Linked DNA regions of Rattus norvegicus. The protein of the gene in region 1 purifies or fractionates together with the protein of each later gene. This does not show direct contact. Links are inferred from orthologs where the notes say so. Each region holds a gene or a part of one and is shown on either strand. Other genes may lie near its edges.

Region 1 (4,058 bases):
GTTGCGCTATTGCTTGTGCTGATCATGAACTCATGGCATTAGCCTTCGGAGTGATAGGATTACCGTATTCGACACTATGCTGGGTGAACAAAAAAGGTTGGCTTTTGTTTTTGAGACAGGGTTCCACTATGTAGCCCTCCCTGGTTGGCCTCGAATTCACAGAGATCTGTCTGGCATGCTTGTTGAAATTTTGTTTTTTAAAGCAAGCATTTTAAAAGTGAAGATAGAAAAAAATGAGTCTCTACAGGATTTCCATCTGAACCGGTGAACTAGGACTAATTAGTCCCCTTTCAGGACAGTAACGTTGTTGATTGTGGCACTCAGATTCAGATGATTCATCCTTCTTCCTTGATAATACATAGATAATGGCAGCATGAATTTTCATCCCTTAGATTTTGCCTTTAACTTTCCAAGATCAATGGCTTAACCCAAAATCTATTGTAATTATAACTCACAACCAATGTAAATTCTTTCCAAATACTTTTTCAAGGACAGTTTTTTTTTTTTTTTTGGTTCTTTTTTTCGGAACTGGGGACCGAACCCAGGGCCTTGCGCTTCCTAGGTAAGCGCTCTACCACTGAGCTAAATCCCCAGCCCCACAAGGACAGTTTTGATGGATCTTCTTACTTCGGATTCTATTTTGGGCTCATGCCAATTTAAATTTGAGTAACTTTTTTTTGTTTCATTTTCGCATTTGACAACTATCATTGATTAATTTCAATGAGTTCTCCCTTATGAGGGTCGAATCTGGTTATATGTTTAGGTAAATAATGTTATGCAAATCAGCAACTATTAGGTTTCATGTTAAGCGATTAAAAAAAGAAAAGCTTTCTGAAAATTTGATGACCCATGAACTGTCTCTTTCCCAAATGGGGAATGTGGGTGGGTTCATCCCTCGGATTGAGGCTGCGTCTTCCGTTCCTTTTGTCTTTTCGGAGGATTATGACTGTCATGGCGCTTTCAAGGAGAGAGAGGCCTTCCTTTCGTCCGGCAGAATTACTTGGGAGCACCTCGACTGGGCGGAGGATGGACAGAGAGACATGAAGACAACGCTGGCAAGCTGTCCGCCAGAGCCCTGCAAGGGAGGAGACGCGGCAGGAGACTGCCCTGAGAGCGCCTGTCTGTGGGAACCGCCCCCCGCTGCCCTGTCCAATGGAAACCTGGCGGCGGTGCGGCACCGCCCACTGTTGGTCCGGACGCCGCGAGGGCGGGGCCCGCAGTTCGGTTGCGCTGCGGAGCGCAGCTGTGAGGGAGTCGCTGCGATCCGAGGCCCCGGAACCCGAGCTGGAGCTGAAGCGCAGGCTGCGGGCGCGGAGTCGGGAGGTGAGCTCCGGAGAAAGAGGCCCTGGAGGGAGGGGCTCGCGGAAGGGCGGCAGGATCACCGGGTGCCGCGGGCCGGCGGGCCGCGGCCGGCGGGTGCTGTCCGGCGGCCCTGCTCTCTCGGGAGTCAGGCCCGACCTAGCCCGGCCCGTCGCAGCTGAGGGGCCACCTTGGCCCCAGGGCGCCGCCCGCCCTCCTGGTGTCTCCGGCGTGGCCGCGGCGGCCCGGAATTCTGCGGGCGCGGGTCGGGGGGCCCCGGCGTTCTCTTGGAACTCTGGCCGCGAGAGGCGGGGCAGGCGGCGCGGGCGGGGGCGGGGCGGGGGCGGGGCGGGGGCCCCTGCCCGAGGACCTGCGGAAGGAAGCGCGGCGTCCGGGCCCGGCCTGCTCGCGGGGCGGTGCGCCGAGCGCGGGGGCGTGGTCTGCGGCCTGACGGCGCGGCTAGGCTGGCCTTTGATGAGGTGGCTGTGGTGCTCAGTCTCCTGGCCGGCCACTGTCTGCTCGCTACCGCTTCCTTCCAAATACTGGCCGGGCGACCTGTTGACATGCTGAGGGCCTCCTGCCTCCGAGCTTGCTTTCTCTCCGACCGAGCAGTTCTGCTGACCTCAGAGGCTCTCTGGGTTTCCTCAGAGCGGCCTGTGGCTGCGAGCTATGCGGGGTGACGTGCAGAGGGCTTTCAACTAATAATGGAAGCCGAGAGAACAACTTTGCGAGAGATGACAGACAATGCCCTGGAGTGAATGTACTATGCACCCTCAGGGTAGCTAGAGGCTTCGAGGAGATTGCCCTCACCAATGTAAATGAGCTTTTCCATGTGTGATCCCTGTTAAAACTACCAGCAGCTCTGAGGCAGAACCCCCAGTGTTGCACAAGTTTCTGCATCTGTTGCGGGAGTGCTTGGAGATCTTTAGGCACTGCTCTTATTTTACCTCCTGGGACATGATTGGGGAGGGAAATGTACCTTCTGGGCATTTGTCGCTGGTGACAGTTCATCCTCTCTCCCAAGTGCAGTGTGAAGGGGCTGTCTGTGAACTTGGTCCAGTAGTTTTAGATTCCATAGGCTACAGCTTTGACATTCTAGAGTATCTTCTGTTGTATCTTGCTAGAATTTCACTTATCAGTTCAGATTGGAGGCACATCGTGTGAATGTAGCTGAAACAGACTTTATTTTCTTAGCTCCTTGATACAGACTTTATTTTCTTAGCTCCTTGATAGGGGAAGGAGGAAAAAGTGATCCTTAACTCATCTTTTTTTATTGGTTTATTAAGACATGCACGAAAATAATAGCTGTTTTGGCATACAGAGGAGACTTTCTAGGGTAGGCAAGGACTTTCCTTAGAAATTTAAAGTGGGGAAGTAGCCTACTAGATTTTTTTTCCTCCTGTAGTGCTGTGTTCTTTGAGTTTACTAGAACGTTAATACAAATCTCCCGATTCAGGTAAAACAGTATAGGCTGGAGAGAAATGTGTAGAAAGGGGCATCAGAGAGTTGTATGGCCATGTTGGTGTTGATTGCAGGTTTCAGATATTCTGAATTGACTTTGGAGTGCAAGTTTACTTTCCAGGGTATTGATTTTTTTATTAGGCAGCGCTTCCTTGAGCTAATCACACATAGGTTTCAGGTTTTTTTTTAATAGTCTCTATTCATTTGATTGTCCTATTATTATTATTATTATTATTATTATTATTATTATTATATGGGTTAATTAGAAACTTAGGTTTTTCTTAAAGCAACTCTGCCCCTGTAGAAATGTTATTGTTTAACACTTTGCTTATAAAAGCTATAGCTTGAATTATTTGTTCTGGAAAGAAGTAGCTGGTATCAGATCTAGTGCCTCAGAGATTGGGGAAGTCAAAGCCTTTGAGCAATGTAAATGAAAGGAAAGCTGGAAACATAAGGCTTTTGATTTTCTTTCTGAATTTGTGCTTAATTAAGTGCAGGCATTTCATTTATTTTAATTCACTGATCTCTCAAGCACCCTCCCATTCTGTGACCTATAGTAACCTACAAGTGTTACTAAACATTTAAGTGAGTAAATGAAAAGAAATGCTGTTAAACAGTACCCACTTGCCACATTCACACATCATGAGGAAGGTGAGGTCATTAGAGAAGGAAGTCATACCTGCCAGTCGCCTGGCCCAAAGGCAGTTTCTACCTATGTATAGGAAAAGTGGGTAATGCCACTGTTGGTTCTAGTAGAATAAGTCACCCTTGGGAGTTTTGGCCTGTTGGTTAAGGAAGATGTAGGCCCATAGGGCTGTCTGTCTCAGTGGAACATTCTAGAGTCGTATGCTCTGAGTAATGCCTGTACACCCTAGTTCTTAAGCACAGTGAAGATCGAGGCCCATGGAGAGCCAATGGGAAATATATTAATTGCAACACTATTTGCTGAGCAGGAGTGGGGTACCAGATTTTACCGTATATTTGGGTTTGACTAAAGTGGACTATATTGTCATTCATCTCATGTGCAGCACTTCGGGTGATCTTCAGTTAACTCCTCTTCTAGAAGCCAGAGAGTCATTCACATTTCAGTATTTAGGTAGGAGGAGATCTGATTTTAGATTTAAAGGAAACAAGGGAGATGTATTTTTTGAGGCTGAAGATGAAGTTAAGACTATTAAAGTTTTATACGTCTGTTTTTGACCTTTGTCTTCTGACTCTGCCCAACAAATGCAGGCTGAGTGTTCATTCCAGCATGTCGGAAGGGGAGTCCCAAACAGTAGTCAGCAGTGGCTCAGACC
Region 2 (4,265 bases), on another chromosome or scaffold:
TCATCCCTAACGCTGTTGTTGAAAACAGAATTTCTGTCTGAAAGATCATCTTTCTAATTCAGTCTGGCTTGCTGTTCTGTGTTTGTCACCCTCGTTTCTCTTAAATCTCACTTCTCCGACTATCATATTTTCAGGGCTTTTTAACGCGACTCGCTTTCTCCAGACATACATCTCTTCTGCAGCTGGATCGCCCTACTTTTCTCCCCTATCACCCGGGTTCCACTAAGACTCTGTTAAACGTTAGACCCAGCACATGACCTCGGGTCATCCAGGATTTCCACACGCCGGCACTAAACCGTGCGACGTTCCAGGATTGCAAATAAAAACCGTCCTCTGGCGTCTCAACTCCTAATGAACCTGCAGCGTAAAATTTAAATTTGAAAAAATTTTAAATAAAGAACCCGCTCCCTTTTCTCTGCCCTTTGGCCCCGCCCACGAACCCCCCTCAAGCCTCCACGAGAAGCTGCAGGAAACCGGAGGGGGCGGGGCGGTGACGTCACGACGCCGACGCGTCACGGAACGGCGGCGGCTGCGGCGCTGGCGGTGGCTGCGGCAGCGGCGGCATTTTAGTCTGCGGCGGCAGCGGCTGCGGGGCTGCTGCTCCTCCCAGCATCCCTGGCGCGGCCATTTCAGCCCCATCTTGGCCGAGTGGAGGGAGCTGCAGCCGCTGCTTCAGCAGTTTGAATTTCAGTTTTTCCGGAGTCTACGAACCGGCCGCGCCGAGGAGAAGCGGAAGACGCCTCCACCGGTCCCCCTCACGCCGCCGAGCGCCTCCGCACGCTTGCCGTTCCTTCAGCCGCCGCCGCCCCTCACGCGCCTCAGAGCCGCGAGGAGGCCGGGCCCGCCGCAGCGGGTGGCTCCCTGAGGGAGGCCAGACTGCCGGCCTTCCCCGCCCCCGAGCGGGCTTCCGCCGCCACCGCCGGCATGGCCCCGGGACTGCGCTCGGGCTAGAGCCCGGGACGGAGGGCTGCCTCCCGCCGCGGACCTCCAGCCCCGTCAGGAAGCGCCGGTCCCGGCCTCGCCGCTCCGCCTTCTTCCTCCGCGTCGCCGCGCGGGAGCAGCCGCGGGACCCGGCCAAAAGAGCCCGAGCGGGGCAGAACCGCCCCTCACGCCGCCGCCGCCGCCTCCTGCGCCCTGCGCTCCACCCCCAGCCGGGCCTGCTGACCGCGCCGAGCGCCGGGCTGGACTGACCGCGGCGGCTGAGCTGTGCGAGCAGCCGGCCCGCCCCTGAACCACGCTCGGACCGTCACTGACGGGTTGAATTGAGGCACCACTGCCGCGGGAGGTGAGAAGGAAGGAGGAGGATGTCGCGCCTAGACGCCGGCGCCCAGAGCAGCCCGTGACTTGCGGCGTGGGCCGTAGACCCAGGCGCGAACTCGGACTTTGTCTTTGGGGGCCCGTGCTCGGCCCTTCTCGGTTTCCGGTGGGGTCCCAGAGGAGCCTCTGTCCTCCAGCCTTTTCCACCATGTCCAAGATGCCGGCCAAGAAGAAGAGCTGCTTCCAGATCACCAGTGTCACCACGGCCCAGGTGGCCACTAGCATCACCGAGGACACCGAGAGCCTGGACGACCCGGACGAGTCGCGCACGGAGGACGTGTCCTCCGAGATCTTCGACGTTTCTCGGGCCACGGATTACGGCCCAGAGGAGGTGTGCGAGCGCAGCTCCTCGGAAGAGACGCTCAACAATGTCGGGGATGCGGAAACTCCCGGGACTGTGTCCCCGAACCTCATCCTAGATGGGCAGCTGGCAGCCGCTTCAGCTGTGCCCGCCAACGGAGGCGGCGGCGTGCCGGCCCGGAGCGTGGCAGGGGCACTCTCCCAGACCCTGGCGGCGGTTGCCACTTCAGTGTCTGCTCCTGGGCCAAGTAGTGCAACTCCATCTCAGCCCCCTGCCACTTGTAGTTCCCGTTTCCGCGTGATCAAACTAGACCACGGGAGCGGAGAGCCGTATCGGCGCGGCCGATGGACGTGTATGGAATACTACGAGCGGGATTCAGATAGTAGCGTCCTCAGTAGGTCCGGGGATTGCATTAGACACAGCAATACTTTGGAGCAGACTGCAGAGCGGGACAGCGGCTTGGGCGCCACCGGAGGGTCGGTGGTGGTGGTGGTGGCCTCCATGCAGGGGGCGCACGGGCTGGACTCGGGAACTGACAGCTCCTTGACTGCTGTGTCACAGCTACCCCCGTCGGAGAAAATGAGCCAGCCCACTCTCGCCCAGCCGCAGAGTTTCAGCGTTGGGCAGCCACAGCCTCCACCGCCCGTAGGTGGGGCTGTGGCTCCAAGTTCGGTGTCGCTGCCGCTGTTCCCCGGAGCAGCGACCGGGTCGCAGCCAATGACGGCAGCCACTCAGCCAACTCAGCTCCAGGGAGCCGTAGCCGGCGGCGCCCTCCCCGGGCCTGTTGGCCAGGGGCTGCCGCCGCCGCCGAATGTCAACCTGGCACAGCCTGTGGCCCTGACAGCTCAGCCTGGCCCGGCGGTCGGCTCCTCGTTGTCACAGCAGTTCGCCTATCCCCAGCCTCCGATACCACCCGGGCATTTGTTGCCGGTCCAGCCATCGGGCCAGAGTGAGTACCTGCCGCCGCACGTGGCCCTGCAGCCACCAAGCCCTGCGCAGCCCTTGTCTACCAGCGCTAGCGCGACCTCTGCTTCAGCGGCCAGCTTTCCTCTGGGATCTGGCCAGAGCGTTTCTTCCTTGGGTGCCCAGATGATGGGCGCCTCTGCCCAGCCCAGTGAAGTCGTGGCCCCGGGTCCGGTTCCCGTGGGCCAGGCCGCTCCTTGTCAGCCGGCCGGAGTGGCCCCAGCTGCTATAGGAGGCGTGGTGCAGCCTGGCTCTGGGCTGACCGGGGTTGGGCAGCCCCAGTCCGTGCAGCCTCCGCCACATATGGGTGGCAGTGTTCAGCTGTCAGCCGTGCCTGGTGGTCCTCACACCGTGGTGCCCGGAGTTCCAAACGTGCCTGCAGCGGTACCCGTTCCAAGCGTGCCTGTTGTGCCCACCACTTCTGTTACTATGCCAAATGTACCCGCGCCTCTGGGCCAGTCTCAGCAGCTGAGCGGCCATACGCCAGTCAGCCGGAGCAGCAGCGTCATCCAGCAAGTTGGTCCACCCTTAGCGCAAGGCACACACAGTGCACCAACAAGTCTACCACAGTCTGATCTAAGCCAGTTTCAGACTCAGACCCAGTCTTTAGTCAGGCAAATTGACGATACTAGAAGAAAATCAGAACCCCTACCTCAAGCACCACTTTCTCTCATTGCTGAAAATAAGCCTGTTGTGAAGCCTCCAGTTGCAGATGCCCTGGCAAACCCTCTTCAATTAACACCTATGAACAGTCTGGCCACCTCTGTATTCAGCATAGCTATTCCTGTTGATGGTGATGAAGACAGGTAGGTAAATTTTTATTTTGAACATCTGGTAGAGTTGCTTGCCCAAATAGATGCAGTTTTGGGAGTGAGTTTGTTTGTTTCCACTTAAGGTCTTTATTTTTAAAACTTAAGTTTGGTAAAAATCAATTCAAAGTTTGGGAGTAAGGAGACAAAAGTCACGGGATTTTTGTTGTTGTTGTTTTGTTTTTGTTTTCTTTTTAAGAAATTAAATGGATAGTGGTTCAACGCCGTTGGTATATTTATTTCAGCTTAACAGTTTAAAGATGAGAGCTGGTATTGCCCCCACCCTTAGTAAGAGAGTCCCTTTCTAAGGTAGTAATTACTTTTGAGTGCTTATTGCAGTTTTGCCTGAGTTAGTTTTGAAACTCTTTAAGACAGAAAACCAGAGAGCCTTTTCCTGGGGGCAGGGAAGGAATGGAATAGAAGCAGTCTCCATCAGTGAATTGGGCAGACTGGAAAGAACGATAAAATGTGGTGAAGTCTAGCTTTGACTACCCCTAAGTCAGTCTTTAATAGAAGGGAGTCGTGAGAGTTCCCAGTAACTTTTCAAACTTTTCAAAGTTTAAGCAAAATAGGAAAAAGAAAAAGTACTGGAAGATGGATGTTCTATCAGTCTTTAGTGAAGGGAGGTGTGAAATGCCTAAACAATAATAAAGGCTATAGTTTTAAAATGTCTGTAACCAACGCCCTCTACCCAGAGTGTAGGGTATGCTTTTTAAATAGGTAGAAATTAGTGCATTGCTACGCTGTTCATGGTTGTGGCTACTTAGGAATTGTAGGGTTCTTTTTTTTTTTTATTTTTTTTTATTTTTTTATTTTTTAAGGAACTATCACATAGACCTTTGACATGACATAAGTCCAACCTTGTTAAAAACTTA
Region 3 (4,268 bases), on another chromosome or scaffold:
GTCGTGGCAGCAGCGGAGGGCTCCTGGGAGCTGCAACTCGTGATGCTGTTGCTGAGGAGAAAAGCCTTATTACCCATTCAGCAGGCCGGGGGGACACCGCCCCAGGGCGCGCACACCCGAGACCTATCGCTCCTCACCCGCCTCGCCGGGGTCCGCGTGGGAGACAGCAGCGGACACGCCTAACCTGCGCGCACGCGCGCGGCGTGGCCCCCACGCCCCACCCTAGCTTCTCCACGCGACCCGGATTCGCTCGCGCGCCCGAGTGCCCCACCCCCACCGCCCTCAGGCGTCGGCGGCTCCGCCGGCCTTCGGCAATTTCCGTGGAGACGGAGCCGAGAGCTCGGCACGGACCGAAGACAGGCCACCTCCCCTAGTCAGACCCAGCTTTATGTCTGCAGCGCCGGCGCGCACGCGCAGACGCCATCTTCCCTCTTCTCCTCCGCGACCCCTCCCCCCCGCCTTCTCCTCCTCCTCCTCCTCCTCCCCCTCCTCCTCCTCCTCCTTCTCTTCGGTCAGAGCTCGACCCTCCTCCTCTCGCGCTGGGGCGCTGGTCCCTCCTCTCTTGATGCCGCGAGAGACCAGGGGATACGGAGCAGCCCGAGAAGAGCACTAGTAACAACCACCACAGCCCCCTCCTCGCCCGACGCCCTCCCACTCCTCCGCCCCGCGCCGCCACCGACCAACCCCACCTCTCATTTCTTTGAACGGCGTCGGCTGCAGCCGCTGCACCAGCCCCGTCTGGCCGTCGCCGCCGCCGCGAAAAGGAGCCACCGCCGCCCGCGGCCCCCTCCCTCCCGGTCGCGGGAGCAGCTCGGTGCCGAGCCAGCCGGCGGGCTGAGAAGAGGACGCGAGCTCGCCCCTCCGCTCCCGCGCACGTCCCGCCACCCGCCGGAGCAGCCTGGGCGCCGGCGCCCTTCCTCTCAGAGGACGTGTGCCGAGCCGAGCGCCTGCCCCGAGAGAGGAAAATGCTCGGGCTCCATGGCTGCCAGTGATGGAGCGGTCCCTGGGCTCCCGCTGCCGCCGCCACCGCCGCCGCCGCGCCCCGGCCGCGCTCCGCGAGGACCCGGCGTCTCTGCGCGCCCGCCCTCGCCTCGTTGCTGGGCTCACCGTACCCGGCGCCCCGCCGCCGCCCCGCTCGCAGCCGCGCCGCCCGGGCCCCAGTCGCGGTCAGCCTTTCCTCCCGGAGCAGCCGTCGCGAGCCCAGGGGGTTTGAGAGGGGCCGCGGGCCGCGGGGGGAGGCCCGAGCGGGGCCGGCCGCGCCGGCAAGGGAGGTTGGAGCGACGCTGAGCTCAGGGCTCGCCGGCGGCCGCGGCGCCGGGGGTGGCGAGGGCCGGGCGACCGCTCGCTCCGCGCTGCCTCGGTGCAGGGCGAGCGGAGGGGCTTTGCAGCGGCCGCCGCCGCGGGAGGAGGGGGTTGAGCTGGCTCCGGAGTTGGCCAAAGAAGGTGGGCATTTCTCGCTTCTCCTCGCCTCCCCCGCCCCCTCCTGGGCTCCCCTCCCTCCCGCCCCGCACCCCACGTGAAGCGGAATATAAAGGGGGGTGTGTGACTGGAGGGGAAAGTGAATGGCGAAGGACTGAAGGGGTCCCCCTTCGGTTCCCCAGCCACCTGGTTCACCCGGTTCATCCTCCCTTCCCGAAGCTAGCCCTCGAAGGCACGAGCAGCCGGCGCCTTCGGCAGAGGAGGAGGAGGAGGGATCGCGTCGGGCGGAGCTTCAGGTCCTGTTCGCCTCTCCGGCTTCTCCATACAAAGATTACGGTGCAGAAGGAAATTGCACTCGCCTCCTCCGCCCCCCGGTACCCAGCACAATGCACCAGCCGCCAGAGTCCACCGCCGCGGCGGCCGCTGCTGCAGACATTAGTGCTAGGAAGATGGCGCACCCGGCAATGTTCCCTCGAAGGGGCAGCGGTGGTGGCAGCGCCTCTGCTCTCAGTGCAGCAGGTACCGGCGTCAGTGGTGCTGCTCCATCTTCTGAAGATTTTCCTCCTCCTTCTTCGCTGCTCCAGCCGCCGCCTCCTGCTGCATCTTCCACACAGGGACCACAGCCTCCGCCTCCACAAAGCCTGAACCTCCTTTCACAGGCTCAGCTGCAGGGACAGCCTCTTGCGCCAGGCGGAACTCAGATGAAAAAGAAAAGTGGCTTCCAGATAACTAGCGTTACTCCGGCTCAGATCTCTGCCAGCATCAGCTCGAACAACAGCATAGCAGAGGACACCGAGAGCTATGATGACCTGGATGAGTCGCACACGGAAGATCTCTCTTCTTCCGAGATCCTTGATGTCTCCCTTTCCAGGGCCACTGACTTAGGTGAGCCTGAACGCAGTTCCTCCGAGGAGACTCTGAATAACTTCCAGGAAGCTGAGACACCTGGGGCAGTCTCTCCTAACCAGCCCCACCTTCCTCAGCCTCATTTGCCTCACCTTCCACAACAGAACGTTGTGATCAATGGGAACGCTCATCCACACCACCTCCATCACCACCATCACATTCATCATGGGCACCACCTTCACCACGGACACCACCATTCATCACATGCTGCTGTGGCCAGTACATCCGTTCCTGGAGGGCCACCACCCACGAGCCCCGTGTCCAGGAAACTCTCTACAGCTGGAAGTTCTGACGGTGGTGTGCCAGTCCCACCTACTTCTGCTGTATCATCGGCTGGCTTACCTGCCTCAGTGATGACGAGCATCCGTGCTCCAAGCACTCCAGGCAGCATAGGTGTAAATTCAGTTACCGGCACGAATGCAACGAATAATGTTAACATTGCTGCTGTGGGTGGTTTCAGTCCCGGTGTGGCGAACAGCGTGCATCCCAATGCTGTTAGTATAAGTGGTGGGCCTGGAGTTACCAGCGGTGTTAATGTGAATGTCTTGAGTGGCATGGGCAACGGTACCATTTCTTCTCCTGTCCTTAACGCAGCTGCAGGTATCACGGTGGGAGTGGTTTCAAGTCAGCAGCAGCAGCCGCAGCAGCCGCCGCCAACAGTTAACACATCAAGGTTCAGAGTTGTGAAGTTAGACTCTACTTCTGAACCCTTTAAAAAAGGCAGATGGACTTGCACTGAATTCTATGAGAGAGAAAATGCTGTGCCAGGTCCAGAAGGCGTGGCCATAAATAAAGTGGTGGAGACCGTGAAGCAAACCCCCACGGAAGCGTCCTCTTCGGAGAGGGAGAGCACTAGTGGGAGTTCCGTGAGCAGTAGTGTCAGCACACTGAGTCACTACACAGAGAGTGTGGGAAGCGGAGAGATGGGAGCCCCTACTGTGGTGGTGCAGCAGCAGCAGCCGCTACCACCAGCACCACCAGGTCTTCAAGGCGTGGCCCTCCAACAGCTAGATTTCAGTAGCCCTGGTCCACAGAGTATTTCTCAGTCACAGATGTCACAGGTACAACTACAGCCTCAAGAATTGAGCTTTCAGCAGAAGCCAAATCTTCAACCTGTTCCTCTGCAAGCCACTATGAGCGCAGCAACTGGTATCCAGCCTTCACCTGTCAACGTGGTGGGTGTAACGTCAGCTGTAGGTCAACAGCCTTCCATTTCCAGTCTGGCTCAGCCCCAGCTGCCGTATCCTCAGCCAGCTCCTCCCGTGCAAACTCCTCTTCCAGGGGCACCACCCCAGCAGTTACAATATGGGCAACAGCAACCAATGGTTCCTACGCAGATAGCCCCAGGCCATGGCCAGCCAGCAACTCAAAACCCTCCTTCAGAGTACGCACAGCAGCAGCCAATATTCCAAGCGGCAATGTCCTCTGGACAGTCCAGTTCCACAGGCACAGGAGCGTCAGTGATTCCCGTGGCTCAGCCACAAGGGATCCAGCTGCCAGTGCAGCCCACAGCAGTACAAGCACAACCTGCAGGGGCGACTGGGCAGCCCATTGGCCAGGCTCCAACAGCAGTGTCTACTGTACCAGCTGGTGGTCAGATTGCAAGTATCGGTCAGCAGGCAAACATACCCACTGCAGTACAGCCACCCTCTACCCAAGTTACACCTTCAGTTGTTCAGCAAGGTGCTCCTCCATCTTCACAAGTAGTCCTACCTGCTCCAACTGGGATCATTCATCAGGGCGTTCAAACCAGTGCTCCAAGCCTTCCTCAGCAATTGGTTATTGCACCCCAGAGTACCATGGTAGCGGTGCCTCCCCAGACACAGGGAGTGGAAGCAGTGGCTCATGGAGTTGTTTCCCACCAGTTGCCCACAGGTAGTCCTTTGCCCTCTGCTAGCACCATTTCTGTTACAAGTCAGGTTAGTTCAGCTGGTCCTTCTGGA

The links.
Region 2: the proteins of Nrbp1 (region 1) and Tsc22d2 purify together in Homo sapiens (affinity purification with mass spectrometry; 5 studies listed by BioGRID and IntAct, with this or other methods). This does not show direct contact. The link is inferred for Rattus norvegicus from reciprocal best matches to the Homo sapiens genes NRBP1 and TSC22D2.
Region 3: the proteins of Nrbp1 (region 1) and Tsc22d1 purify together in Homo sapiens (affinity purification with mass spectrometry; 6 studies listed by BioGRID and IntAct, with this or other methods). This does not show direct contact. The link is inferred for Rattus norvegicus from reciprocal best matches to the Homo sapiens genes NRBP1 and TSC22D1.

The regions. Positions count from the first base shown.
Region 1 is NC_086024.1:30,850,309-30,854,366, reverse strand, and holds the start of Nrbp1 (nuclear receptor-binding protein), read left to right. Parts: upstream 1-1,258; 5' UTR 1,259-1,323; intron 1,324-3,993; 5' UTR 3,994-4,012; coding exon 4,013-4,058. UniProt on the Homo sapiens protein: Required for embryonic development. Plays a role in intestinal epithelial cell fate and proliferation, thereby involved in the architectural development of the intestine potentially via the regulation of Wnt-responsive genes.
Region 2 is NC_086020.1:144,795,575-144,799,839, forward strand, and holds the start of Tsc22d2 (TSC22 domain family protein 2), read left to right. Parts: upstream 1-1,465; coding exon 1,466-3,387; intron 3,388-4,265. UniProt on the Homo sapiens protein: Reduces the level of nuclear PKM isoform M2 which results in repression of cyclin CCND1 transcription and reduced cell growth.
Region 3 is NC_086033.1:58,158,310-58,162,577, forward strand, and holds the start of Tsc22d1 (TSC22 domain family protein 1), read left to right. Parts: upstream 1-1,468; 5' UTR 1,469-1,805; coding exon 1,806-4,268. UniProt on the Homo sapiens protein: Transcriptional repressor. Acts on the C-type natriuretic peptide (CNP) promoter. Acts to promote CASP3-mediated apoptosis.